4 linked regions of the Elephas maximus indicus genome follow. The protein of the gene in region 4 interacts with the protein of the main gene of each other region in a pairwise test. Links are inferred from orthologs where the notes say so. Each region holds a gene or a part of one and is shown on either strand. Other genes may lie near its edges. The genes, in order: CLIC3, CCDC120, COPE and EFHC2.

The links.
Region 1: the proteins of EFHC2 (region 4) and CLIC3 interact in binary tests that used the Homo sapiens proteins (3 or more experiments, as listed by UniProt). The two-hybrid records come from large-scale screens. The link is inferred for Elephas maximus indicus from reciprocal best matches to the Homo sapiens genes EFHC2 and CLIC3.
Region 2: the proteins of EFHC2 (region 4) and CCDC120 interact in binary tests that used the Homo sapiens proteins (3 or more experiments, as listed by UniProt). The link is inferred for Elephas maximus indicus from reciprocal best matches to the Homo sapiens genes EFHC2 and CCDC120.
Region 3: the proteins of EFHC2 (region 4) and COPE interact in binary tests that used the Homo sapiens proteins (3 or more experiments, as listed by UniProt). The two-hybrid records come from large-scale screens. The link is inferred for Elephas maximus indicus from reciprocal best matches to the Homo sapiens genes EFHC2 and COPE.

What each region holds. Positions count from the first base shown.
Region 1 is NC_064827.1:1,442,184-1,449,020, reverse strand, and holds CLIC3 (chloride intracellular channel protein 3), read right to left. Parts: upstream 2,780-6,837; 5' UTR 2,721-2,779; coding exon 2,685-2,720; intron 1,908-2,684; coding exon 1,798-1,907; intron 1,720-1,797; coding exon 1,594-1,719; intron 1,467-1,593; coding exon 1,360-1,466; intron 1,289-1,359; coding exon 1,113-1,288; intron 1,029-1,112; coding exon 870-1,028; 3' UTR 504-869; downstream 1-503. UniProt on the Homo sapiens protein: In the soluble state, catalyzes glutaredoxin-like thiol disulfide exchange reactions with reduced glutathione as electron donor.
Region 2 is NC_064846.1:122,538,697-122,545,520, forward strand, and holds the start of CCDC120 (coiled-coil domain-containing protein 120), read right to left. Parts: upstream 3,017-6,824; 5' UTR 2,704-3,016; intron 1-2,703. UniProt on the Homo sapiens protein: Centriolar protein required for centriole subdistal appendage assembly and microtubule anchoring in interphase cells. Together with CCDC68, cooperate with subdistal appendage components ODF2, NIN and CEP170 for hierarchical subdistal appendage assembly.
Region 3 is NC_064821.1:38,774,015-38,781,282, reverse strand, and holds the start of COPE (coatomer subunit epsilon), read left to right. Parts: upstream 1-4,262; 5' UTR 4,263-4,297; coding exon 4,298-4,423; intron 4,424-7,268. Other genes in the region: probable ATP-dependent RNA helicase DDX49, read right to left, coding at 3,868-3,982. UniProt on the Homo sapiens protein: The coatomer is a cytosolic protein complex that binds to dilysine motifs and reversibly associates with Golgi non-clathrin-coated vesicles, which further mediate biosynthetic protein transport from the ER, via the Golgi up to the trans Golgi network.
Region 4 is NC_064846.1:128,993,497-129,001,510, reverse strand, and holds the start of EFHC2 (EF-hand domain-containing family member C2), read right to left. Parts: upstream 3,014-8,014; 5' UTR 2,943-3,013; coding exon 2,901-2,942; intron 1-2,900. UniProt on the Homo sapiens protein: Microtubule inner protein (MIP) part of the dynein-decorated doublet microtubules (DMTs) in cilia axoneme, which is required for motile cilia beating.

The sequences.
Region 1 (6,837 bases), on a different chromosome or scaffold from region 4:
AGTTGTTTTGTTTCCAGCCCTCCGGCAGAGGTGCGGGGCCAGACTTGCTCCTGGGGGCTGCCTTGGGATCGGGGCCACCGGAAGTAAGCAGATTGCATCTTGGCTCAAACCTGCGGCTCCTGGGCACTCTCGGGAGGAGGCTCCTGGTCGCTGGGTCTGCCGGAGCCCCGGCTCTTGCATACCCGCCCAGCCCTCCCTGCCTGTGAAGCTGGTGCAGGGCAGGCCCAGAGCTACCCAAGAGGTCGACGCTATTCCCACCCCAACCCGGCACACATCCCGCCCTGCACACGTCACTCTGACAGACCCCACCCAGATGGCCACACACCATGCACAGATGCGCTGTAGGGCCTGGGCAGTAACCCGTTGGAGCTGCCCCCACCAGGAGTCCGAGAAGGGCTGCGGCCACCTGCTGGGGCGGGATTGAGGAATGTGGGCCAGCCCCGCCCCCCTGGCCCCAAGCCCCAAGCCCCGGGGTGCCCAGGGCTGGGCCCTGGCTCCCCACCCTCCTCGGCCATCCTGCCGCCCCGCCCTGGCCTGACTGGTTTGGGAACCCAATCCTGTCCCCGCAATCCCTGTCGCAGGCCCCAGATGGCTGCAGGAGGCTCTGAGCCCCTGGGTTTGCCGTGTGTGTGGGGGAAGGGCTGTGTCCCTCTCCCCGCACCTGCTCGTTCTCCTGTCCCTGTCATTCTGGGAGGGTCATCTGGTGCTGAGCTTCCCAAGGTGGGGCTTAGGGGTGGCAGTGATCGTGGGGTCTGGGCCCTCGGACGTGAGATCACGCGCACTCAGGCCCAAGTGCCTCGATAGGGCTCCGGACGAGTGGGCATGGGGGCGGCAGGCGGGGAGCTCGGTCCGTAGGGAGACGTGAGCGGCTAGCGGGGGCGCACGGCTGGTCGGTAGGCCGCCAGGATCTCGGCGCTGTGTGGACATGTGTACTTGAACTCCTTTTCTTGCAGCGCGCTGTCCAGGTAGCGGCGGACGCCTCGCAGCTCGCCTGGGATGGGCGCCTGACGGAAGTGCGCGCACACCGTCTGGGGGGGGAGGCGGGTCAGGCCCTCGCGCGCCCGCGCCCCGCCGGCCGCGCCCCGGGCCCCGCCGCCCGCGCCCGTGCTCACGTCCACGATGTGCAGCTTGGGCAGCAGCCCGCAGTCAGCCAGAGTGAGCTGGTCACCGTCGAGGAAGCGGCGGCGCGATTCACGCAGCTGAGGCTCGCGCTCCAGTTCGTGCTCTCGGGGCGCGCGCAGGTAGCGGTCCAGCCGGACCAGGGCGCGCAGCAGTTGCTGGTACAAGGCTGGGGGATGGGGGCAGTAAGGATCCGGTCCCGGAGCGCCCTCCCGGCCAGCCTGCTCCCGCCCCACTCACCGTCGTCCTGCGCGGGCACTGGGTTCTTGATGAACGCCGAGAACTTGTGGAAAACGTCGTTGCCTGCTGTACTGGACTCTCGGTAGCGGGGCGCCAGACTGGGGAAACTGCGGGCGGGGTGGGTGGGGACGCTCCATCAGGCCCGGTCAGCACTCCCTTGCCCGCGTCCCGCCAGCTTCGTCCTGGGTCGTCCTTTCCGGAGCCCATCGCCCCCTCCCCGCCCGGGGCCCTCACTCGGGCGGCCCCAGCGTCTCCTCCAGAAACTCCTCGATCTGCAGCGTGTCTGTCTTGGCGTCGCCGTCGTAGAGCAGGATGGGCAGCTGCGAACCGGGGGCGAAGTCCTTCAGCACGTCTGGGGACCTGCAGTACAGGAGGAAGGAGGGCCTGGCCGAGCGGCGCGGAGGCCCGGGAAGGGTCGCAGGGCGGGGATGGGCTCACCTTCTTACATCCACGGTGGTGAGCGTGAAGGGCACGCCCTTGAGGAGCAGAATCATGAAGAGCCGCTGGCAGGAAGGGCAGTGCCCCACGCTCTCGCCATCCTCACTCGCCTGGGTGGGTGGAGCAGGGGGTTAGGGCAGGGAGCAGCCCCAGGAATCCACCACCAGGCGGGCTGGGAGCAGCGCCAGGGCTGGCTGGTTGGACAGGGCCGCTCCAAGAGGGCACTTGAGTTGGAGAGGGTGCAGAGCTGCTAGGGTGGGGTGGGACCTCCGGCCCCTCAAACCTTATCTTCAGAGCCTGAACAGAGGCCAGGCCCCCTGCTCCAGGCCCGTCAGCTGGTGACAGGGTGGGGTGGGCTGGGAGCTGTTCTCTCAGTGATTCACGCCTCTGAGCTGGGCATCTCTGCTGGCACCATGCTGACTCCCCGCACCCCCAAGGTGGGGAGGGGTGGAGTCCGGCCGCATTCCACCCCTCTACACACAGACAGACCCCAAGAATGCGCACTGACCTGAGGCCAAAGAGCTGCTTGGCCCAGCCCTTCCTCACTTCCGCACACTGACCCCAAGCTCCAGGGCCTCAGCCTGGTTGACTTCCCCACCAGGGCTTCCCCCCACCCCTGCCCCAAGTGATGGGCTGGGCCCAGAACCAGACTGGGAGTGAAGAAACTCCCCCACTTTGGGGGTGACTTACTGGGGGCCTTCTTCCCCAAGCAGCCCTTACTTTACTCAACCTGCTGACAGCTGCCTGAGTCCCCAAGCCCACCAGAACGGCAGGGGCTCAGCCACTATCTGGGAGACCCCCTCAGCCCACACCAGAGAGCTCAGCCCAGAAGAGCCACTCAGCCTCCTCCCCCAAGGCCCTGTCCCCCAGCCCAGCCCTCTTGGCACCTTCACAAACAGCTGGAGCTTGGCGGTCTCAGCCATGGCAGGCGCAGAGGCTCTGAGCACAGACAGGGCGCCAGGCAGGGGCCTGCGCTCTTTAAGGCTCCCTGGCTGCCCCGCCCTCCCTGGCCCAGGGGCCGCCCCACCAGGTACTTAGTCGGGAGGTGAGGCTGCCCAGGTTCAGAGCCAGCTGTGCAGGACTGTACGTGCAGAAGGCTGAGCTCCAGGGTGTGACTGTAGGTGGAAACTGGGTGTTTGGGGCTAGCCCGAGATTGAGACTGAGGCAGCTGGTACAGGCTGAGGGCCCAGGACTGTGGGTCTGATTCAGGGCAGACAGTCGGAGGGGTTCAAGAACAGTGGACTGAGTGAGAGGCAGGGGGGTGGAGTGCCACTAGCTGGGGGGTGGTGGGCACAGCTCTGGATCAGGCACCCCCACCACAGACCCCAGCCCAAGATCTGCACTCAGGGCCCTCTGCAGGGAGCACCTGCTGTTGATCAGGGCCTGGGCCCAGAGAGCTAGGGTGTCTGCTTGTTGGGAGAGAGGGGAGGAACATCCTAGCCGTGGCCTGAGTTTCCCCATCTCTAGGATCTGCATTAGGAGTGATGAGCCCTCTTGGGAGGGACCCGCTACCCAACGCACAGCTGGCCCTGCTGGGTCAGGCGGTGTCACAGACAAGCCTGCACTCCTGCTCAGGGCAGCACCCCACATTCCAGCCAGCCAGTCTGGGAGATGAGCTTGGCTTTCCAGACCGTGGTGGAGGCGCCTCCACCCTGCACTACTGCCCTCCCACGCAGGCCCAGCGCTGGCTTTTCTTTCTCCTCGAACCTTATAAAAAGAAGTGTGGGGAGGGAAGTTAGATCCCCAGCCTCCTGGAGCCCACAACCTGGGTGCACCCCGTTCCCGTCTCCCCCCGCCCCCGGGCGCCTAGTGGAAGGGGAGCAGCCCCAGGGGACCCCGGAGGGGCGACCTCCTCCAGGCAGGGCGCCCAAGGAGGCTCGGCTGCCACCCGGTGGCCGCAAACTGCATTGCCCGGAGCCTGCGCGCCCGGCTCACCTGGAGCGCGTAGAGTGGTGCTGGCCGGACAGGGCGTTCGGGCGGCGCCGGTTCCCCACGCCCGCCCGTGCGCTCTGCCCGCTGCCCCCTCGCCAAGGGCCCTGGTCCACGCGGCTTCGGCTCCTGTCCCCGGCTCAAGGCTCCGCAGCCTTCCCGGGAGTCTGTGCCGTGCCCGAAATGCGCCGTCCTCTCCAGCACGCGGTCGGGGCTCAGGGGCACCGACGTGCGTGCGGGGGCCTCCAGTGGTCACATAGTCAGGTAGCGGTCAGGCTACCCCCCTGGAGCCTGAGTTTTCCCCTCCACCCCGCCTCTATGAAGCCCCTGTGAAGATCCGGTGCTCCACGCTTTCAGCCATGCCAATACTGTCGGTGCCACAGTCATAGCTCCTCTGGCTGGTTTCTGCTTCCCTCACAAACTGCCAACCCTGGGGAAGCAGCCTGAGGCCCTGCACACCTGTACCTGTTCACCACATGTCGTGTGTGTGTGTGTGTGTGTGTGTGTGTAAAATTTTATATGCACAATAATAAAACCATTGTGGTCGAGTGGTTTCCAACTCGTAGTGACCCTATAGGACAGAGCAGGACTGCTCCATAGGGTTTCCAAGGAGCAGCTGGTGGATTCCAACTGCTGACCTTTTGGTTAGCAGCCGAGCACTTAACTGCTGTGCCACCAGGGCTTCATAATAATACAGTATATAATGTATGTAGTGTATAACGTGTATAGTGTCTAACATGTAGTGTGTAACATATGTAGTATGTAACATGTGATGTGTAACGTATGTAGTGTGTAACATATGTAGTGTGTAACATACACAGTGTATGTTGTTGTTAGGTGCCCTGCAGTCAGTTCCGACTCATAGCGACCCCATGTACAACAGAATGAAACACTGCCTGGTCCTGCACTGTCCTCACTACGCTTGAGCCCACTGTTGCAGCCACTGTCTCTGTATATGTATATGTGTGTGTGTGTGTGTGTGTGTGTATTCTTTTTGACCCCAAAGGGAAACCCAGTACACTTTAAACAATAACCACCCCCAGCCCCTGGAAACCACGATTTTACTTCTTTCTGCGCATTTGCCTAGTCTAGGTATTTCATATAAATGGGATCATACAATGCTGTCCTTTTGTGTCTGACCTTGTCACTCAGTGTCGTGTTCTCAATGCTCACCTATGTTGGGGCATGACTCAGGACTTCATTTCTCTTTACGCTTGAGCATTCCACTGTATGCATAGACCACGTATTTTGATCAGCCCACCTGTTGCTGGACACTTGGGTTTTTTCCAGCTGTTGTGAATAGTGCCGCAGTGAACACTGGTGTACACAAAACTGTTCGAGTCCCTGTTTTCAATTCCTTTGGGTACATACCTAGGGGTGGGATTGCTGAGTCATGCGGTGATTCTATGTTTAGCTTTTTGAGGAACCACCAGACTGTAGGAGGTGTCATTTTAAGATGGGGATTAGGTCCAGTTTAGGGCCCTGGCTCTGTGCTCCGGCAGCGGGTAGTCAGAGGGAGCAGGAAGATTGAGCTTTTTTGTCCCTGGACCTGCCCCTCCCTCGGCACAGGGGCCTGGGGCAGGGAGCAGGCTCAGCTCGGTAACCCTGCTGAACTAGCACCCTAGCACCCTCTCCCCAAGGCATTTCGGGATTGTCTGGAACAGGACCTTGTCCTGGCAGAGAAGAGATTTGTAGGGCCACAGACACCCTCTGCCTCCATTTGGGGCTGGGACTGTGTGCTGGGTTTGCACTGATCAAGCCAGGGTATCCAAATGTGGAGCCTGGCCAGCCTTTAGGGGCTACAGCTGGTACTGCGGTTCCAGTTAGGCAGCTGGGCTGTGTGTGGCTGGGGTGCGGGTGGGTTTCAGCAGGTTCTGGGTCGGGTGGGGTGGTCGGGACAGGCTGAGGGCTTATGCCTCACCCACCTCCAGCTCCTAGGGACCTGGTATGTGAAGGCAGTGGTGGCCGACAAGGACTTGTCCATGGAAAAGAGGCCCAAGAAGGTGTCCCCCATGATGGTGACTGCCCTGGAGGGTGAGAACCTAGAGGCTTCGTTTACTTTCCTGTGAGTCTTGGCCCCACCCCTGCTGGCTCAGGGGCTTCTCGCCTACCCTAAGCAGCCCCACCTGCTGTTCCTCTGGCTACCGGATATTTGAAGTTACGCACACTGGTAAAATAGGTGTGTCAGGTTCATCAGCAAACTTTGGAGGAAGGAGTCCTGGGGTGCTCTATGCCCGGGAGCAGGTGGCAGTGAAATTTTGGGGGCACCTGAGCAGAGGGACACCTGGGCCAGAAGAGCTGAGGACGGCTCAGGTGTGCCGCCTTATGTTCCCCGGGAAGAAGGATCAGTGCCACAAGAAGAGAGCTGTGATGGAGAGAATGGGGGGAACCTGGCACATACAGTGCCCTGAGTCCGGGCCCCCACCCCACCCCCAACCCCATCCACACACGGAGAATGCCCAGGGTGGCCTTCCTGCCTGAGTGTCCCTGCCCTGTCCAAACTCCAGGGCATGCTAAGCTTCACCTTCCCAGGGACTTGCTGCCCCAGGAGGCAGTAGTGACCTGAGATCAGACCCCAGGTATGGCGGGTTCATCTGCAGCAGGGACTTGGCTGACCACCCCGTCCATCTGGGTGGTCCTAGCTGTTGACCTGGCAGGAATATGGGGGTTAGGGATCGGGGAGGGATGGAAGCATAGCTGTGGGGCAGAGACAGGTGTCCAGCTGCCCTGAGCTGAAATGGTCAAGCTCCAAACTCTGACACTGTTTGCCCTGACCCCTCCTCGTGTTTCCATGAGGGGTTGGGGACCCTTCCCCCAGGAGGCGGCTCTCTCTCGGTGATTGGGGTCCATAGTGGTGGGGAACAGCAAGACCCTGGGCTCCTGCCAGGCTGGGGGCTCTAGGGGCTGGGTGTGCTGTACGGTGAGGGCAGCCTAGAATCCAGAACCTTCTAGGCTGTTCCTTAAATGGTCTGGGTGTTTTCTCTAGGAATGAAGACAGTGAAGGCCGATTTCTTCTCTGCCTACAGATGGGGACAGGAAGCACATGCTGCTCCAGGACCTGCCGTGAAGGACCACAATGTGGGAAAACTTTCCTCATGGCAAAGCTCATGG
Region 2 (6,824 bases), about 6.5 Mb from region 4:
TAGGCTACCAGGCCAAAGATTAGACAGGCTATAAAACAAACAATAACACATGTGAGGAACATGCTTCTTAGATCAGTCGAGTACACGAGACCAAATGGGCAATAGCTGCCCCAAAGCAAAGATAAGAATGCAGGGAGGGACAGGAAAACTGGACGAATGGACATGGGGAACCCGGGGTCAAGAGAAAGGGGGAGGATGTCAACACAGTGCAGGGATTGCAACCAATGTCACAAAACAATCTGTGTATAAATTTTTGAATGAGAAACAATTTGCAATGTAAACTTTTGCCTAAAGCACAATAAAATTTTTTTTAATTTTAAAAGAAAACAAACAAAAAATGCTGGAACCAAATACATTCAGATAACTTGTCTCAACTCTCACTATCCAAATTCAGCAACTGAATGGATTTAGATACATATCTGAGATAGAGTTGGTATCCCTCACTCTCTGAGCTTTCCTTACTTACCAGGCAAAATGCAGGAACCAAATATGTTTATACAAACCTAGGTATCCCAACTCTTGCTACTGGAACTCAAAAAGTTAATAGATGTGAATATATTTTTGCGTTAGAGTCCTTATCCTTCATTATCTGAACTCTACCTACTCTGTAAAATGCAGAAACCAAAAACTTTAAGATATCTTGGTATCTTTCACTGTCTGAATGATCAGAATGCTTCCTCTCAGAACTCAGGTACCAAATAGATTGGGACATCGAGGAACACTTATGGTGATGGTACTGTTATTAACAGGTTGGTTAAACGTTTTGGATAAATGAGATGGATTTGGTAGCTCTCATTATTCAAACTCTCAGTACTCTATGAGAAACACTGAAACAAGATGTAATTGAATAACACAGTACTTCCTCACTACACAAATTCTCCCCATCTCAGAATCAAGGAGATGCAGACAGCAAGGGATCATCCTATTAATACTGTTGTTATAATTACTACTGGATGGACCTGTTTCTAACATCCAGTGACCACGCCCCTCCCTGCCCCCCACACACAGACCCACCCCACAAATGTGGGTAGACTTAGCACCAAGACTGATATTGCTTACTGCTGAGAGAGAAGGGGAAATAAACCTCTGCCCCCATCCTACCCCCACAAAACCCTGAAGCCTCTGGCCCAGAATGGACTTGTTTCCAGGCCAGGAAAGCACGGATCACACATTCAGAATCAAGACCAGGGGGTGGAGATAACATGACCTGGAAGATTCACACATATTCCTGGGTCCGCTATCCCCAAATACTCGCTCATCCCCCTGACATGGGGCAGCCCCTCCGACCTGGCAAGGCTGGAAACATGACCTGGAACTTGCAGACTCCCAGAGAGCCAATGAATAATTTAGGGTATTCTTTCACACTTGGGGAAGGTGGGGGGGGCGTAGGACCAGTTCCATGCCCTCTTGGGGCAGAGAGAGAAGTGCAAGCTCTGTATGACATCACTGGAGTGAGGGTAGATCACATTCAAAACCCCATCAGCCCCACAGGACTGTTTGCTCAGGCAGCTGTAGGTGATGGAGTAGGCAGAATGAAAGTTCATTCCCCCTTTCGCTAAGAGAAAGTACTTGGGATGTACTTCAGAGGCCCTGGGAATGACGACCCTCCAAGTTCAGGAGCAGGGTATAATGAGACCCCTGTCCTTCTGGGCTCAGAGGGGATGGAAAGTGGGTGTTAGGAAGAAAGGAGATCTGAACAGGGTGGAGGGGAATGGTGAGGGTTAGAACAGGGGCCCAGGGTTGGGACTGGATGAGGGAACAAGACAGGAAGGAATGTAGGAGACAAGACTGAATAAGACTCATCAAAGAATAGAGGTTAAGAGGAAGGACATGGAATGAGCCAGGACACTGGCTAGGGAATGGGATGGAGTGAGGTTCAGGGCAGGGGTCAGAGACAAAGCACAAAAAGGGGACAAAACTGCAGGGCAGGGGTCAGGATCAGTATAGAACAGCAGTCACAAAACAGGACAGGTCAAAACAGTAGTTTGGGGGGCAAGAGGGAAAAGGGCAGGTTCAGGTTGGAGGTCAGGAAGAGGAAAAGACCAGGACAGCATGAGAATGGGGATGGGGATAGTGATGGGACAAGAGAGGAAAGGGAAAAACAGGACAGGTTTGGGGGCGAGGACAGGGCAGAAGACAGGGGGGCATTCCAAAGGTGGTGAGCCAGGACAGAGGTCAGGAGTCAGGAAAGGGCCAAGGGGAAGGGGAAAAACTATGAGGTCTGGGATCAGGTTGGGGTCAACGGGATAGGACATGACTAAGAAGGGAGTCAGAGACTGCACAGGGGTTTAGGGAACAGACAGGTCAAACATCTGGACAGAAAATGGGGTCAGCGTTGGGCATCAGAGCAGGGCAAGATGAGCTTCTGAGATGGCATGAAGTCAGGCAAGGCTCCGCTCAGGCCAAGAATCCTGAGGACAGGACTGGACGGGGTTTGGGGTGAGGACTGGGTTTAGAGGGGCAAAACAGGGGTTGAGGACCATGGCAGACCAGAATATGATTAGGTCAGGGGTCAGGAAGGAGGTCCTGGGCCAGGGTTCGTGGTTAAAAAAAATATGTTGTCAGGTAAGACAGGAGTCGAGAGAGTCCACAGGGTCAGAAGTGAGGGAGTGTGCTCGCGCAGGTACGTCTGCCGTTGGCGTTTCTCGGTCCTCACCCCGCCCTGTTCCCTCCCTTCGTCCCCGGGCGGGAGTTATTACTCACTGAGACTCGTTGTACCACGGCGTACGGAGGGGTCGCTGTAGGCCGAGAGTGCTGGTGGGTGCGCCCCTCTTTCGCGGGCCCCCGCTCGTCCTCGGGCCCGCGCCTACTCCCCTTCCGCGCCCTGCCCCTGGGCCGCGTGCACCGCGCGACGGATAGCCGTGGGGTTCAGACAGCAGAAGCGAAGAGGGTGGAAGAGAAGCGCCTGGCTCCGCCGCTGGCGGTGAATCCTCGCCCCCCACCTTTAACTCGATTTCCTTGGCTCCCGGCCTCCCGGCAGCACCACAGGCTCCGCCGCTGAGCGCGAAGCGGTATAAGGAGGGGAAGGGGGCGGGGCGCGAGAGCACAGCAGCGGCGGAGGTGAAGTGCGCAGGCGCAAACTCGGGTCTTCGGGTTGTTTTTTTTTTCCCTGCCCTGGGAGGGCCCTGGGCGGACAAACTGGGAGTGCGTGCGCACGCGCGTTCTCAAGGGCTGCCAAGCCGGTTAGGGGAAGGAACCTAGTAGCTCCCGCCCCGGGAGCTCACCTTTCCAGGTCCGGGTCCCGCCCCCAACGAGGCTACACCCTCTCAGTGATCAGAATGGAGCCCTTCACCCTGAGCTACCCTCCATGGACCCCCAAGCAGCACCCCAAACTGCCCTATAACAACCCCCACCACACCTCTAAACGCCACCAACAACCCTTTGTGCCATCTTCCAAATGCACCCCACACCACACACTCCATTGACCTCCAAGCTGCGCCCAAGTGACTAACTACATTGACCCCAAGCTATACCCCTAAATTACCCTCCATAGACATCAAGATTGCATCCAAAACAATTATCCATAGACCCCGAAATGCACCCCCAAACCTTGCTTCATCAACTCCCAAATCACTCTACACATTTACCTTTGATTTTCAACCTTCAAACCACCCTCTGTCATTCCCCAATTGTATCTCAAAACTACTCTCCATTGACCCCCCCCCAGCAGCACCTCCAATCCACCCTCCATGGGTACCCAAGCTGCACCCATAAACTACCCTCCATTACCCCTAAGTTATTTTCCCCAAACCATCTTCCATCAACTTTGTAAGCCAGCCAACATTGACTTCCAAACAGCACTTCCAAACCACCCTCCACCTACCCCCAATATGCAACCCAAAACACCCTCCACTGACCCCAAAACAACCCCGTATACCCTCCGAGTCATACTCTACTCATCCCCAAATTACTTTCCAAGAGCCCTCAACATCACCCCAAACATTCCTAACTACCCTTAGTGTGGCCCCACCTGCACACCCAGTAACACTCTAACAGTCTCCTGCTCTACCCCTGAGCCATTGGCCCCCCAAAAAATCTTCCTTTAACCCCACACATACACAAACTACCTTCCAACAGCCCCCATCACTATCCTAAATAACTTCCAACTACTCTATATGTGATTCCTAAGCTGCACTTCAGACCATGCTCCAACATCTCCTATACCTCCAAAACCAAACTGCACTCTGCCAGATTGCATGCCCCAACTCTCCAACAGTCCTCCCCAACTATACTTACAAATAACCACCAACCATCTTGCTGTAGTTACCAAACTGAACCCCCAAATCATACTCCAGGGGCTTAAAATGTGTCCCGCAAGCCCTCCAATGACTCTTTTTTAAAAAAAATATTTTGTTGTTGTTGAGAATATACGCAGCAAAACATGAGCCAATTCAACAGTTTCTACATGTACCATTCAGAGACATTGATTACATTCTTCCATTTGTGCAACCATTCTCACCCTCCTTTTCTAAGTTGCTCCTCCCCCAATAACACAAACTCACTGCCCTCTAAAGTTCCTGCCTAATCTTTCAAGTTGCTGTTGTCAATTTGATCCCATATAGATAGCCTTCAGTGATTCTTAACTGCACCCCAAACCACACTTCAGTGACCCAAGTGTACCACGAAGCACCCTGCAGTGATCTTTTCTTAGAACAATTAAATAGGATATAATTTATATACCATAAAATTCACCCACTTTAAGCATACAATCCAGTCTAGTAAATTTACCAAGTTGTGCAACAATCACCACAATCCAGTTTTAGAACACTTTCATCATCCTCAATAAGATCCCTCATGCCTAAATACAGTTAATCCTCATTCTCTTTTCCCACCCCACGCAACCATTAATCTACTTTCTGTCTCTATGTTGTTTTTGTGTTGTCGTGTGCCATAGAGTCAATTCAGACTCATAGCAACCCTATCTGACAGAGTAGAACTGCCCTGTAGGGTTTCCAAGGAGTGGCTGGTGGATTTGAACTACCGACCGTTTGGTTAGCAGCCTGAGCTCTTAACTGCTTGGCCACCAGGGCTCTTTCTCTATAGATTTGCCTTTTCTGGACATATCGTATAAATGTAATATATGGATTTTGGGTCTGGCTTCTTTCACTTAGCTTAATGTTTTTGAGGTTCATCCGTGTTATAACATATATCAGTAGCTTGTTCCTTTTATTGCTGAATATATTCCATCCAGTGATCTTTAACTACTTCCCAAATCACCCACTAGTAGCTCCCTAACTATAACTCACAACAGTCCTCTGACATAGAGATCTTCGAAAAGGCCCCCAAACTGCATCACAAACCTTACTCACTAGTCCTCAACCATACACCAAACCACTCTATTGACCCTCAAACCTCATTATTAAACTACTGCCCTAGAGCCTCAACTTCATCCCAAACCACCCTCCACTACAGTCTCTACCACACCCTCAAACTGCCATCTATTAACTCCCAAGAATAACCCCCAAAATGCCCTTTCAGTGATCTACAACTCTAACCCAAACTACTCTTCAGCAACTCTAAACCTCATCCCTAAAATTCCCCTTCCAACAGCCCCCAGCTCTGCCTCTAAACACTCATTGTCTTAGTTATCTAGTGCTGCTATAACAAAAATACCACAAGTGGATGGCTTTAACAAAGAGAAATTTATTCTCTCACAGTCTAGCAGGCTAGAAGTCTGAATTCAGGGTGCCAGCTCCAGGTGCTGCTTTTTTGGTGGTATGAGGTCCCCCTGTCTCTCTGCTTGCTTCTCTCTTTTATGTCTCTCGTAAGATAAAAGGTGATGCAAGCCCACCGTTTATCTTACACCCCAGGGAAACTCCCTTTACATTGGATCAGGGATGTGACCTGAGTAAGGTGTTACATCCCACCCTAATCCTCTGTAACATATCTAATCTCGCCCCATTAGCCACAGGCAGAGATTAGAATTTACAACACATAGGAAAATTACATCAATCACAAAATGAAGGACAATGACACAGTACTGGGAATCATGGACTAACCAAGTTGACACATATTTTGAGGGGACACAATTCAACCCATGATACTCCCTAACTATCTTCCCCTGATCCCTCAACTGCAACTTCAAACTACACACCAAACCACCTTCAATGGCCCCATCCCCAAACTTGTCTTAAATTACATGCAAATATTTTTATTTATTTTTATATAGCAACTATGGAAACCCTGGTGGCATAGTGGTTAAGAGCTATGGCTGCTAACCAAAAGGTCTGCAGTTAGAATCCACCAGGTGCTCCTTGGGAACTCTATGGGGCAGTTCTACTCTGTCCTATAGGGTCACTATGAGTCAGAATCCACTCGATGGCAGTGGGTTTGGTTTTTTGGTTTTATAGCAACTATACCCACAAAACATCTTCCAATTTTTCCCAACCGTATCCTCCAAGATTTGCTAACTACACCCTAAACTGCCCTCTAATAGCCCCTGGTGCTACCTGTAAACGTACCCCATCTGCCTTCCCACAAGCTCCCAACTCCACTTCTAAACCACCCTCCACTGACCCCCAACCCTACCTCAGTCTTCCCTTTGATGGTGTCCAGCTGCACCCCAAACACATTCCAATGACCTCTAAGCATAACCCTATGCATCCTCAAAGGGCCTCTAATGACCCCCAACTGTACCCCCAAGCCATCTATATTAGTTTCCTGTGGCTGCTGTAACAAATCACCACAAGAGTTGGAGGCTTAAAACAACAGAAATTTATTCTTTCACATGCCTGGGGGCCATAAGTCCAAAATCAGCTTCACTGGGCTGAAATCAAGGTGTCAGTAGGACCGTGGTCCCTCTGGCTGCTGGCATTCCTTAGTTT
Region 3 (7,268 bases), on a different chromosome or scaffold from region 4:
GACTGGAAGCCACATCCACCTGACCCGAGACGCCATGCTGCTCACCACCACCTTATACTGGTTCCCTCCCAGACCTGGGATTCCCTCCTCTAATCTGCATTCTTCCCCACGTGTCTGTCAGTTCGTCATAGTGTGGGGGCTTGCGTGTTGCCGTGATGCTGGAAGCTGTGCCACAAGTATTCAGACACCAGCAGGGTCACCCATGGTGGACAGGTTTCAGCTGAGCTTACAGACTAAAACAGACAAGGCAGAAGGACCTGGCGGTCTACTTCTGGAAAGAATTAGCCAGTGAAAAACCTTACGAATAGCAGCGGAACACTGTCTGATAATAGTGCCGGAAGATGAGCCCCTCAGGTTGGAAGGCATTCAAAAGATGACTGGGGAAGAGCTGCCTCCTCAAAGTAGAGTTGACCTTAATTACAGGCATGGAGTCAAGCTTTCAGGACTTTCATTTGCTGATGTGATAATATCCTAGTTGTTAGCGAGCTGAAATGGACTGGTATTGGCCATTTTCAATCAAACAATCATACAGTCTAATATGCCGGGAATGACAAGTTGAAGAGAAATGGCATTGCGTTCATCGTCAAAAAGAACACTGCGAGATCTATCCCGAAATACAACACTGATAGGATAACATCCATACGCCTACAAGGAAAACCAGTTAATACGACTGTTTTTCAAATTTACGTACCAACCACTAAGGCCAAAGATGAAGAAACTGAAGATTTTTACCAGCTTCTGCAGTCTGATATTGATTGAACGTGCCATCAGGATGTACCGATAATCACTGCTGATTGGAACGCAAAAGTTGGGAACAAAGAAGAATGATCAGTAGTTGGAAAATATGGCCTTGGTGACAGAAACGATGCTGGAGATCGCATGACAGAATCTTCCAAGATTAATGACTTTCTCATTGCAAATACCTTTTCTCAACAATATAAATGGCAACTATACACGCGGACCTCGTCACATAGAATACACAAGAATCAAACTGACTACATGTGTGGAAAGAGAAGATGGAAAAGCTCAATGTCATCAGTCAGGACAAGGCCATGGGCTGACTGCAGGACAAACCATCATCAATCGCTCATATGCAGGTTCAAGCTGAAACTGAAGAAAATTAGAACAAGTCCACGAGAGCCAAATTATGATCTTGAGTATGCCACACCTGAATTAAGAGATCACCTCAAGAACAGCTTTGATGCATTGAACACTAATGACTAAACACAAGAGGAGTAGTGGAATGACATCAAGGACATCATACATGAAGAAAGCAAGAGGACACTGAAAGATTAGAAAGAAAGGAAAGATTAAAATGGATGTAAGAAGAGGCTCTGCAACTTGTTCTTGACTTTGAGTAGCTAAAGCAAAAGGGAAAATGATAAAATAAAAAAACTGAACAGAAGATTTCAAAGGGCAACTCAAGAAAACAAAGTACTACAATGACATGTGCAAAGACCTAGAGGTAGAAAACCAAAATGGAAGAACACATCTGGCATTTCTCAAAGCTGAAAGAACTGAAGAAAAAATTCAAACCTCAATTTGCAATATTGAAGGATTCTACGGGGAAAATATTAAACGATGCAGTAAGTATCAAAACAAGATGGAAAGAATATACAGAGTCACTATACCAAAAAGAACTGATCTATGTTCAACCGTTTCAGGAGGCAGCATGTGATCAGGAACCGACGGTACTGAAGGAAGAAGTCCAAGGTGCTCTGAAGGCATTGGCGAAAAAACAAGGCTCCAGGTATTGAAGGAACACCAATTGAGATGTTTCAACAAATAGATGCAGTGCTAGAAGTGCTTACTCATCCATGCCAACAAATTTGAAAGACAGGTACCTGGTCAATAGACTGGAAGAGATCTGTATTTATGCCTATTCCCAAGAAAGGTGATCCAATCAAATGTGGAAATTATTGAAAAACATCATTAATATCACATTCAAGTAAAATTTTGCTGAAGATAATTTAAAAGCGGCTGCAGCAGTATATCAAAAGGGAACTGCCAGAAATTCAAGCCAGATTCAAAAGAGGACATCAAATGAAGGATATCGTTGCTGATGTCAGGTGGATCCTGGATGAAAGCAGAGAATACCGAAAAATATTTACCTGTGTTTTACTGATTATGCAAAGGCATTCCACTGTGTGGATCATAACAAACTATGGATAACACTGCAAAGAATGGGAATTCCAGGACACTTAATTGTGCTCACGAGGAACCTGTACATAGATCAAGAAGCAGTCACTCGAACAGAACAAGGGGATCCTGGGTAATTTAAAGTCAGGAAAAGTGTACGTTAGGGTCGTATCCTTTCACTATGCTTATTCAATCTGTCTGCTGGGCAAACAATCCAAGAAGCTGGGTTATATGAAGAATGGGGCGTGAGGATTGGAAGAATAGTCATTCACAGCCTCTGATGTGCAAAGGACATAACCTTGCTTGCTGACAGTGAAGAGAACTTGAAGCACTTACCGATGAAGGTCAAAGACCACAACCTTCAGTATGGATTACACCTCAACATAAAGAGAAAAAAAATCCTCCCAACTAAACACGAAACAATAAATGTTGGAGAGGCTGTGGAGAGACTAGAACACTTATACACTGCTAGTGAGAATCTAAATTGCTACAACCACTTTGGAAATCGATTTGGCGCTTCCTTAAAAAGCTAGAAATAGAACTACCATACGATCCAGCAATCCCACTTGGATTATATCCCACTTGGAATATATCCTAGAGAAATAAAAGCCTTCACACAAACAAATACATGCACACCCATGTTCACTGCAGCGCTGTTTACAATAGCAAAAAGATGGAAACAACCAAGGTGCCCATCAACGGATGAATAGATAAATTATGGTATATCCACACAACAGAGTACTACACGTTGATAAAGAACAGTGATGAATCTGTGAAACATTTCATAACATGGAGGAACCTGGAAGGCATTATGCTGAGTGAAATTAGTCAGTTGCAAAAGGACAAGTATTGTATAAGACCACTATTGTAAGAACTCAAGAAATAGTTTAAACAGAGAAGAAAATATTCTTTGATGATTATGAGAAGGGGGAGGGAAGAAAAGGGGTATTCACTAATTAGACAGTAGATAAAAACTTCTTTAGGTGACGGGAAAGACAACATATAATACAGGCGAGGTCAGCACAACTGGACTAAACGAAAAGCAAAGAAGTTTCCAGAATGAGCTGAATGCTTCGAAGGCCAGCGTAGCAGGGGCGGGGGTTTGGGGACCATGGTTTCAGGGGACATCTAAGTCAACTGGCATAATAAAATCTATTAAGAAAACATTCTGCATCCCACCTTGGAGAGAGGCATCTGGGGTCTTAAATGCTAGCAAGCGGCCATCCAAGATACATCAATTGGTCTCAACCCACCTGGATCAAAGGAGAATGAAGAACACCAAGGACGCAAAGTAATTACGAACCTAAGAGACAGAAAGGGCCACATAAACCAGAGACTACATCAGCCTGAGACCAGAAGAGCTAGATGGTGCCTGGCTACAACCGATGACTGCCCTGACAGGGAACACAACAGAGAACCCCTGAGGGAGGAGGAGAGTAGTGGGATGCAGACCCCAAATACTTGTAAAAAGACCAGACTTAATGGTCAACCTTCCCTGTGCTCTGAGACTATGCAACTTTAGAGGTTACGTCACGTCTCTGCGGACGCAAGGTCCGCCACGCGGTCTGAAAGCCAACACCGCCCTGTCCACCTCCGAAGCCCAGACTCGCCCGGAACGCCCAAGACTGCGCCTCACCTCGCGGAACCAGCGTGGACAAAGGCCGCGAGAAGGGAAGAGAGGGGGAGAAAAGCGGAGACACCTCCTGGGAAAGCGGCCGGCACACTCACCCTCCAGGATGGCGGGGATGCAGCCGAGCTGCACGGGCGTAGGCTGCTTCAGACCCAACTGCCGACATTGTTCCACTAGCCACGATGACAGCCCGAGCTCCGCGAAACACGGCATCCTCTTCCCCAGTCGCGGGGTGGTAATGAGCCGCGTTTCCGGTGCGCGCCGATGACGTCACGAAAGCCTTTTCGTTCATAGTGACTAGCCCCCTCCGCCAATCCCCCCCTTCGTCCGCTGCCTCATGCGTTCCCCAAGATGCAGTGCGGGACAGGCTTGCACTCCGCCCCCTGACTCGTATCTATGAGCTTCCCATTGGTTCATCTCCCTGTCACCTGGAGCAAGTAAACTACATTTCCCGGCATGCTCCGCGGCGGTCCCTGATTTCGGCCGACGTGTCCCTCCGGAAAGGGAAGTGGGTGAGACGACAGCAACATGGCGCCTCCGGCCCCCGGTCCGGTCACTGGCGGCTCCGGGGAAGTGGACGAGCTGTTCGACGTGAAGAACGCCTTCTACATCGGCAGCTACCAGCAGTGCATCAACGAGGCGCAGCGGGTGAAGGTGCGGCTGTGCCGAGGCTGGGGGACTCTGGGGGCGGAGGTGCCGGCAGCTTCTTGTGGTCACAGTCAGCTGCTAAATACTCTCCCTTTTCTCGCAGCATATTCCCTGCGCTCACCTCTTAAGAGCGCGGCAAGGAATTAACATTGTCTTATTCCAAAGTCTAAATCTGTAACAGCTTTGTTTATAAAGGGCTCGCTCTGCGCCCGGGAATGTATTCGAGTGAGGGAGGTAGTTATTCCACTTTATAATAATATGATGATGATGATAAGTCCCACTTGTCGAGCGCACACTGTGCCCGCCGTACTCTCCGTCCCCGTGAAGAGGGGACTGCTCTTTATCTTTATTTCGCAGACAAGCACTTCAAGGCTCGGAGAGAGGGTCGCTTCCCCAAATAATTACTTTGCCTGCTAGCTCAGTTGTTTCTGCCAAAACTCATTCATTCATTCAATAAAGTACTCATTGTACTTATTGAGGATTAGAACGGGCCATGGAATGTGTTCTTGCAGTACTCGGGACAATAACCCAAATAGACAAAGATCCCAGCTCTCTTGGAAATCTCAGCCTAGCAGAAAAGACAGACGGAAAAGAAGAAACACGAAGTGAGGAAGTGGCAAGAGAGTGGTGTGAAGGAGAGTGGTGGGCGTGAGCTTGGATATTTATTATTGTTACCCAGTCGGCCCTGGCTCTGTGTATAACAGAATGAAATGTTGCCCTGCCCTGCACCATCTTCGTGGTCTGTAGTGTGCTGGAGTGCATTGTTGCAGCCACTGTGCATTTTGAATGCCTTCCAACCCAGATGGCTCATCTTCCAGCACTGTATCAGACAGTGGTTTATTGTAATCCATAGAGTTTTCATTGGCTGGTTTTCAGAACCAAGGGGTTCTTCCTGGCCTTCCTTATTCTGGAAGCTCCACTGAACCATTCCACCCTGCTGATACTTGAAATACCAGTAGCATAGCTTCCAGCATCACAACAACACATAAGCCACCACAGTAGGACACACTGACACACGGGTGGTGGTTGGCTGTTTAAGAGCTAGAAAATCATTCAGCATGGCAAGACCCAGCGAGTGAAGCAGGTAAAAGGAGAGGAGCGGCAGGGCCTTTTAGGAAGGTGTGTAGACTTCGCTGTGATTTTGAGGGCAAGCCTTTAAAGCAGAGTGAACATGGCAGTGGCCTTGCCCCACCTTCACTGTCTCAGGTCCCAAAAATGGTGAGTGAAGAAGGTTTGGATACATAATTACGGCCTGTGATTAGTGCTATTTGTAGTCCTGTTGCTGAAAATCTTCAATTTCTTCGTCTGTGGCCTTAGTGGTTGCTGTGTAAGTTTGAAGAATAGTTGTATTAACTGGTCTTTCCTGTAGATTTATGGGTGTTATCCTATCAATGATAGTGCTGTACCTCAGGGTAGATCTTGAGATGTTCTTTTTGACAATGAATGTGATGCCATTTCTCTTCAAGCTGTCATTCCGGCATGTCGTTGTTGTTGTTAGGTGCCGTCGAGTCGGTTCCAACTCAATAGCGACCCTATGCACCACAGAACGAGACACTGCCGGTTTATGTCGTTGTTATGCTTGAGCTCATTGTTGCAGCCACTGTGTCAGTCCACCTCATTGAGGGTCTTCCTCTTTTACGTTGACCCTGTACTTTGCCAGCCATGATGTCCTTCTCCAGGGACTGATCCCTCTTGACAACGTATCTAAAATGTGTAAGGCGCAGTCTTGCCATCCTTGCTTCTAATGTGCATCCTGGTTGCACTTCTTCCAATACAGATTTGTTCGTTCTTTTGGCAGTCTGGCATAGTAGACCATAATTGTCTGATTCAAAACGGCCATACGTGTTTCTGTTTCTTTCTTTTTTTTTTTTTTTGAGCTTTAGGTGGAGGTTTACAGAACAAACTAGCTACTGTTAAACAGTGTACATATTGTTTTACGATATTGCTTAATAACTCCACAACCCGTCAATACTCCCTTTTCGACCTTGGGTTCCCTATTACCAGCTTTCCTGTCTCTTCCTGCCTTCTAGTCCTTGCCCCTGGGCTGGTGTGCCTCTTTGTTTTGTTTTATGGGCCTGTCTAATCTTTGGCTGAAGGGTGAACCTGAACAGTGACTTCATTACTTGTCCAGGGGCCATATCCTCAGGGTTTCTCCAGTCTTTGTCAGACCAGTAAGTCTGGGTTTTTTTTGTGTGAGTTAGAATTTTCTACTTTTTTCTCCGGCTCTGTCCGAGACCCTCTATTGTGATCCCTGCCAGAGCAGTCGGTGGTGGTAGCCAGGTACCATCTAGTTGTACTAGATTCAGTCTGGTGGAAGCCACGGTAGCTGTGATCCATTAGTCCCATTTCTTTTTGATGACTTCCAAGTTTTCTAGATTCATACTTTGTACATTCCATGTCTCGATTGTTAATGGATGTTTGTAGCTGTTTTTTCTCATTTTGAGAGAGGTCCTGTTTCCCGTGGGAGTGGTCCTGTCTCCCCAGGCCTTCTGGACAGTATGGTCAGAACCTGAGACTGACCCTTTTTTTTTTTTTTTTTAATTTTTATTGTGCTTTAAGTGAAAGTTTATAAATCAAGTCAGTCTCTCATACAAAAATTCATATATGCCATGTTATATACTCCTAACTGCTCTCCCCCTGATGAGGCAGCACACTCCTTCCCTCTGCTCTCTCTTTTTGTGTCCATTCTGCCAGCTTTTGACCCCCTCTGCCCTCTCATCCCGCCTCCAGACAGGGATGCCATAGTCCCATATGTCTACTTGATCCAAGAAGCTCATTCTTCACCAGCATCATTTTCTATCCTGCTGTCCAGTCCAATCCCTGTCTGAAGAGTTGGCTTTGGGGATGGTTC
Region 4 (8,014 bases):
TGATGTATGACAAAGGTGGCTCTGCAGAGGAGTGGAAAAAGGGTACCCTTCTCCAAAAGTGACTCTAAGTCAACTGAATATCCATATGGGAAAAGAATACAACTTGATCCCTACCCCTCTTTTACACACAAATAATTTATTCTAGGTAGACTGTAGATCTAAATGTGAAAGGTAAAAACAACACAATTTCCAAAAGATAACATGGGGAAATATCTTCACGACCTGGTGTAAAGAATGGTTTCTTAAATAGGAAACAGGAAGCATAAACCTAAAGGAAAAAAATTATTCACCAAAAACACCATTAAGAGAGTGAAAAGGCCAACCACTGACTAGAAGATATTTCCAACGCATATATCTGGCAAAGAAGTTATACCCAAAATAAGTATAGAACCCTTACAAGTCACTAAAAAAAAAGACAACCCAATAGAAAATTAGACAAGTGACAGACACTTTCCAAAAGAGAATATCCAAATAACCAATAAATGCATAAAATGTGCTCACCTTCATTAGGAATCTGTGAAATGCAGATTAAATCTACCAAGAGTTACACTACACTCACCTATTGAAATAACTAAAATTTAATAGACTAGTAAAATCAAGTGTTAGAATGTAGAGCATAGGAACATAAAATGCTGGTGGGAATTTAAATTGATATAACCATTTTGACAGTGTCTACTAAAGCTAAATATATAAATACCATGTGATCTAAGAAGTACCAAAAGGGGTGAACAAGTATAGTCATAGCAAAACTATTCTTAATAGCCCCAAACAAGCCAAATATCTATCAAGAGTAAAATGTACATATAAACAATGTCATAGTCATACAATGGAATACTATAGAGCAATGAAAATGGATAAGTACCTCTACAGAGAGCCACATGAACAAATCTCACAAACATAATGTTGAGTTGAAAAAGCTACTCACAAAAGAATAAACATTAGACATTCCATTTATAATACATTCAAAAGCAGGGAAACCTAACTATAGTGATGGAAACCAGGAGAGTGGTTACCTTTGGAGAGTCAGAAAGGAATAGTGAACAGGAATGGTCATAGGTAGGGTTGCCAGATAAAATACAAAACTCAGTTAAATTTGAATTTCAGATAAACAACAGATGATCTGTTAGTATAAGTATATCCCATGCAATATTTGGGACATGTATTTTTATTTACTAAATCTGGCAACCCTAGTCATGAGGAACACTAGGAATTCTGGGAAGGTTCCATTTCTTGACATTCATTTTGTAATCATCCATTGTGCATTTTTCTATACATTGTGCTTCACAGTAAAAGGGTAAAAAAAAAAAAAGAGCAAAAGTACACCAGTACAGCCTTGCAGATTTTAAAATATCTCCTCCAACCACTGGTTTTCCTTCCCACCCTTAATCATTGCATGTGAGAGCTGTGATACTTCTGCAAGTGGTGGGCATCAGTAATCTGAACCATTGTGGGCCAAAAGGTGTGGGCTTCACTTTCAATTTTTATTAAAATTACTTTTACACAGCATGCTTTTTTACTTCTGGAATCTTTTTTCATTTTTCATGCCCTGCCTCTCTAGGCCCATTCTTATTTGGATGGCTGGCTTAATCTTACCAAAGGGCCGCGCTGTGCTGGAAGGCCAGCCTCTACCCACCAGGCAAGAAATGCGCAAACCAATATTTTTGACTGAACAGACGCATGGGGGGGTCAGAATCCTGTGGACTGAGGCTACAAAGCTGACCAGTACTTTAGAGTCATCGACTTGGATACAGACATGTTCAGAATTCATAAAGTCAAATGCTTAAGCTTAGAAAGTTTATGAACTGCTGTTGTTAGTTGTCTCTGAGTTGATTCCAACTCATGGAGACCCCACATGTATACAGAGAACTGCTCCATAGGGTTTTCTAGGCAATGACTTTCCAGGAGCAGATAGCAAGGGCTGTCTTTCAAGGTGCTTTTCAGTGAGTTCCAACCGCCAACCTTTCTGCTAGTAGTCCAGCACTTAACTATTTGCAACATCCAACTGTTTGCTCCATCTAGTTCCTTCCCATTGGTTTATTATTTACCTTTTCCTGCAGACACAACTGGCAAACCCAAGTAAAGAACAGTGACCAGTGCAAACAAAAGCCTGAATGGCTTTTCTGCTCTTGTTTAAGTAAGGTGCTATTTATTCACCTGAATGTTCTTAAGGTGAATAAATAGCACCTTACTTAAACACCTTTCTTAAAGTTCTTCAATGCTCAGAGTATTTTGTGTTGTTGTTGTTTTGTTTTGTACCTTCAAAAAATTCCTCCATGTTTCAGTGCCAATCAGCCCCCATCCCCCTTGAGAGTGCCAGGCTTCTTTGCTTTACTAATGGAAAACTATATTTATCCCTTTCACACCCTATATTGAGGATAAATAATTAGGCTCCTGGGCTGTGAGGACAGGTTGCCTGGAAGATATTCAGCTCCACCACTGAGATTGTGTAGCTCTGGGTCGGTGAGTGACTCTGTGCCTCAGATTTCCCAAATGCAAAATGGAAGTAAAAATAGTACCTAATTCAAAGGGCTGTTGGGAGCATCAAATGCCCTATAAGGCGATTAAAACACAGTTCCTGACACACCTTAAACGCTCAACATTTACTAAGTATTACTGTCATTATCATCATTTACTTTCACGGGTACTGTCGTTTCGTTTATCACCTATAAGGACACTACCTGTGTACCTAATGTAGGAAAAGCACCCAGATGCAGTTGTGGAGAGAGGGGAGGGAGAGATGACAAAAGGCAGAGAAATAAGGATTCCACCAGCCTATGAAGTTTGGTCCAAGATGAGCCCAACCGGCAGGAGGATAACTAGCGATTGGCGGCCACCAGCGGGGTCAATGACTACCCACACTCCTGCCAGGACCTCTGACCTCGGGCGTCCTCACTACTCACGTTGCGGTTGAAGTTATTGCCAGGCAGCAGGGGCAAGGCCATGGCTCTCCGCGTCCGAGGACCCAGGGTCTGAAAGTAGAGGGGCCTGCTTGCAGCGGCTGCCTCGAGGCCGCGTCATTCGACCTCTCGTTACCTGGAGACGGGAGGCGGTGTAACGGAAGGGGGAGGGGCCGAGCCGGGGCTCGGGGCGGGGCTCGGGCGGCAGGGAGGGGCGGAGTTCGGGCGGGGCTCGGGTCGGTCCTCCGGCTGGAGCTAGAGTAGAGGGAGGGGAAGGGGCAGGGTCGGGAGGGCCTCTTCTCCTCGCCCGCTGCTTCCAGCGCCCATCCACACTCAGCCGCGTACAAGTCATCCGAGTCTTCTCTCTACACGCGTTGTGCACGCACAAAGACTTGACAACCACACCATTCTCCGCCCCCCGCTGCTTTATGGTTTAACCCCTTTGTAGAGCTCACATCCTTTCATGTACTTAAACTCCTCCAATACTGGTCCCAACATTTTTGGCCATTTGATTATTGAATGTGGTTATTAAATAGTTCAAACATACAGAAAAGTTCAGGAAACAATACATCCATGTGCTCACTGAGATTTAACACAAGTTAATGTTTTCCTATGCTGCATTTACATCAGCGTTATTTTTTAAATTCAAGTATTCTAGGCTAATCTAATGCCACACATATCCCATCCATCCCCCACACAAAAACCCGTTCCAGTGGTAACCACCATCCCCAGTCCTTCCCCTGTACATTTTTATACTTGAACTAAACGTGTGTAAGGTGCTCATAATCATGGAGTGGCCAGGAGAGGAGTCAGGTGGCACAAAACTCAGCACCTGTCACTCCATCATCTATCCAAGATGCCCAGGCCAGGAACCTCCTCCATTCTTCTCCCCACACCTACAGCTAATCCCTCCCTGCCTTCTACTGTTTAGACACTCTGGCATCGGTTAGTCACCACCTCATCTATCTCAGTTGAGACCCCATTATTTCTTCCCTGGTTTTCCTCTTTAAAAAAAAATTTAAAAAAAAAAAAAAAACCTGACTGATATTTCATCCTTTCGTAACTCGTGATACACCTGTTACTCTTCCGCTTAAACAGCTTTCTAGCCTTCTATCCTTCTTTCAGGAGGCAGGAGGCAGTTGGACTCCTCACCCTATTCTAAACAGCCTTTGCCAGGGTCACCTGCCAACACCCTCTGTCCCTTTCTTTGCCATGCCTGTTCTACTTCAGCTGTGAAAAGCCACTGGCAGCTCCCAGACCAAGCCCTGAGGTTTCTTTCTCCTTTCTGGGGTTTTGCAAATGTCACTATCTACTAGAAACAACCTTTTCTCCTTTCACCTGGGTAAGCCCTCTTGTTTTTCAGGACTTGGTTCAGTGTGGGAGAGAGGCATGGAAACCTTTGCCATTTCTGGGAAATGTTTCTTCACCTTCTTCCTGCCCAACCCCACCCCATCTGTATTAGGTGTCCATTTTAATTGTGGCTTTCATCTTTCTATATTGTAATGACATATTACTTGACTCTCTTTAAATATCCCAAAATTCCTCCAGGGCAGGGTCTGTATCTCCTTTTCTGTTTTGTGTTATTTTGTTTTTTGGTTGAGTTGGGTTGGGTTTGTTTGTTTTAAATTAACATAAAGGTACAGATAGTAATTTAACAAACATACAGATATCCACCACACAGATTAAACATTTGCTAGCATTTTGCCATATTTGCTTCAAATCCTTTTGTTTTTAAAGAAATAAAATGTTATCGATTCTGCTGAAGCTCTGTTTATACTACTACTCAATCCCATTCCCTACTTTTGCACTAGAGGTAACCATCTTAATGATGTTGGTTTGTATACTTCCTTGCAACCATGTTATTATACTGATACCAAAACCCACTGCTGTCGAGTCACTTCCGACTCATAGCGACTCTATAGGACAGAGTAGAACTGCCCCATAGAGTTTCCAAGGAGCGCCTGGTGGATTCGAACTGCCAACCTTTTGGTTAGCAGCTGTAGCACTTAACCACTATGCCACCAGGGTTTCCATACTGGTATGCATTTATTCACAAAAAGTATACATTGTTTTCTGTGTTTACAGCCTTTACACTATAAATTTCTGCTACTTGCTTTTTTCAACTAAGATTTTTTTCAGATTTCTACATGTTGACGCATGTAGATATACTTCATTCATTCTGAATGCATGGTATGACTATACCACAAATTATCTATTCTCTGTTGATGACAATTAGGTGTTTCCAATTTTTCACTATTATCGACTATGATGCAATGAACACCCCTGTATATGTCCTCTTGGCACAGAAGGTAGAGACTATCTAGGGTATGTTTAAGAGCTCAGGCTGCTAACCAAAATGGTCGGCAGTTTGAATCCATCAGCAGCTCCTTAGAAACCTTATGGGGCTGTTCTACTCTGTCCTACAAGGTCGCTATGAGTCAGAATCAACTCTATGGCAATGGGTTTGGTTTTGTTCAGTTTATACCCAAAAGTGCAATTGCTGGGTTGTAGGGGTGAGGCAGTTCTACTCTGTCCTATAGGGTCGCTATGAGTCGGAATCGACTCGACAGCACTCGGTTTGGGTTTTAGGGGTACACACCTTCGACTTTACTAGATCTTGTTAAATCATTTCTAGAATCACTGAACCACTTAAGAAAATTTTTTTAAAAAATCCTCTTTTCTCTTTATCCTTTCCAACAATGGGTGTTATCAAATTTTATAATTTTGGACCATCAACTGAATAAATGTGAAATGGTATACCCTTGTTATCTTAATTTATCTTTACCTAATTACAAGTACAGTTGGTCATCTTTTCACATGCTTATTACTTTCTGTTAATTACCTATTCATACCCTTTTTTACTGGATTTTTCTATTGAATCATGCATGATTTTCTCACTGATTTGTAGTTCTGTGTGTGTGTCTATATATATATATATATATATATATATATATATATATTCATTCTAGACACTAATCCTAGCCATAGCAAATATCTTCTCATCACTTGTGCTTTGCCTGTTACTTCCATTTATGGAGTTCTTTATTGCACAAAAATTTGTCATTTTCTCTACTCAAATGTATCACCCTTTCCCATTATGGTTTGTGATTTGTACACTTTGCCAAAAAGATGAAGTTACTCTCCTACTTTTATTACAAACATTTTTAAATATTTTTACTTTTTAAATTGAAATAATTTTAAACTTATTTTTAAAAGTTGCTAGATAGTACAAATAACTCCTTCACACAGATTCCTTCAATTTTTTTTAATATTTTACCATATTTGTTCTATTATTCTCTCTCTATATACACATGATTTCCCCTTTGACAGTAAATTGCAGACACCATGTCCCTAAATACTTCACTGAATATTTACAGAAAATATTCTAGTACAGAGCTGAAATAGAATTATCAAAATCAGAAAATGATCATTAAGTATGGTTCTTCCTTAAAAAACTAGAACTAGAAATACTATGAGGGAGGAGGAGCCAAGACAGTGAAATAGACAGACGCTTCCAGCAAGCCCTCCTTACAACAAAGACCCTAAAAAACAAGTGAAACGAGTATATTTATGACAAGCTAGGAGCCCTGAATATCAAAGGCAAGCTTAGCAAAAGAACAGAGGGGCAGGGGGAGGAAGAAATGGTTCAGAAGCGGAGAGGAGTTACTGGACCTGAATCATGCGGAGCCCTCAGGCACCATTCCCGGAGCAGCGGTGGCAGACTGGTACTAGCATTCAACCGCAGTTTCCTCAGGGAGAAGCAGCCAGCAACACACCCTACTCACACCTCCGGAAGCTGAGAAGAACGGCGCTCCCGGCAAAAGCTAAGTACTTGCATATATTTTACCGTGCATCCCCAACCCCAAGCCACCTTCAATGGCTGAATTCCCTGGGCCTGAGACAGGCCCTGCTCAGTGCCTAGGGCCATCCTCCTGGCCCTGGAGAAGAAAAAAATTTGCAATTGGGGGAAACGATAATTTGTCAGCTCCACTAACCAGGGGAGCTCAGGACAGAAGCGGCTACTGTCCAGGCATAAACAGTCCATGGACTTTGAGCACCTTTCCCCTCTGCATGGACCTGTGTGGGCCTATTTCAGGAGACAACACCCATATTTGCAGAATCCAACCTTTTTAGCTTTGAGGTGGAGAAGTGGGTGTTTGATACTTGACATTGCTTTGCCTATTAAACAGTGTCCTCACCTACCCACATAGGGGCCTAAGGACTGGTAGCTGCACTCAGATCACCCAGCCACACACGAAAGGGGGTGCAAGAATAAATGGTACCTCCCAGTTCCTACAAACAAAAACATTGGGTACCCATGGTCCATCTGCAGAACTCACCCACCTGCATGCTCTAGGGAACAGGGATGTGCTTTCCTCAGAGACACTCAGGGGTCGGTTTTCTACCCCCTGCCTTGTTCAGAGGGTGACCCCCATTGCAATCAGATGCCAGTACATACACCAATCACCCCTGCCCCCCTAAGACTGTAGGACACAGCCTGTACCACACACTTGATGATCAGCTACCTGGACACCTGAGATGAATTCATACAAGAAAACTGAATGAACTCACAGACTGATATACCTGATAACAGCTCTAGCCATCTGGGGACAAGATGTCAGAGCTCCAAAGGTGAAAATAATCAAGCTAGCTCACTCAAGCAAACCATTTGAGCATGTCAAAACAAAAAAAAAGCAAAGCAAAAAGCTATGACACAGTGAGCAAGCATAAACTAATACAATACCTTGTAGAAGGCTTGGAGAAAGCAGTCAATATCAAGTCACACAAAGAAACAGACCATGATCACCTCAACAGGCTCTCAAAACAAAGAATACAGAGATATTCTAGATGAACGTGCACTTCTGGAATTACCAGAGGCGGAATACAAAATATTAATAAACAGAACCCTTCAAGACATCAGGAAGGAAAAGAGGCAATACGCAGAACAAGCCAAGGAACACACAGATAAGGCAATTGAAGAAATTAGGAAGATTATTCAGGAACATAATGAAAAATTTAATAAGCTGTAAAAATCCATAGACAGAGAACAATCAGAAATTCAGAAGATTAACAATAAAATTACAGAATTAGACAACTCAATAGAAAGTCAGAGGAGC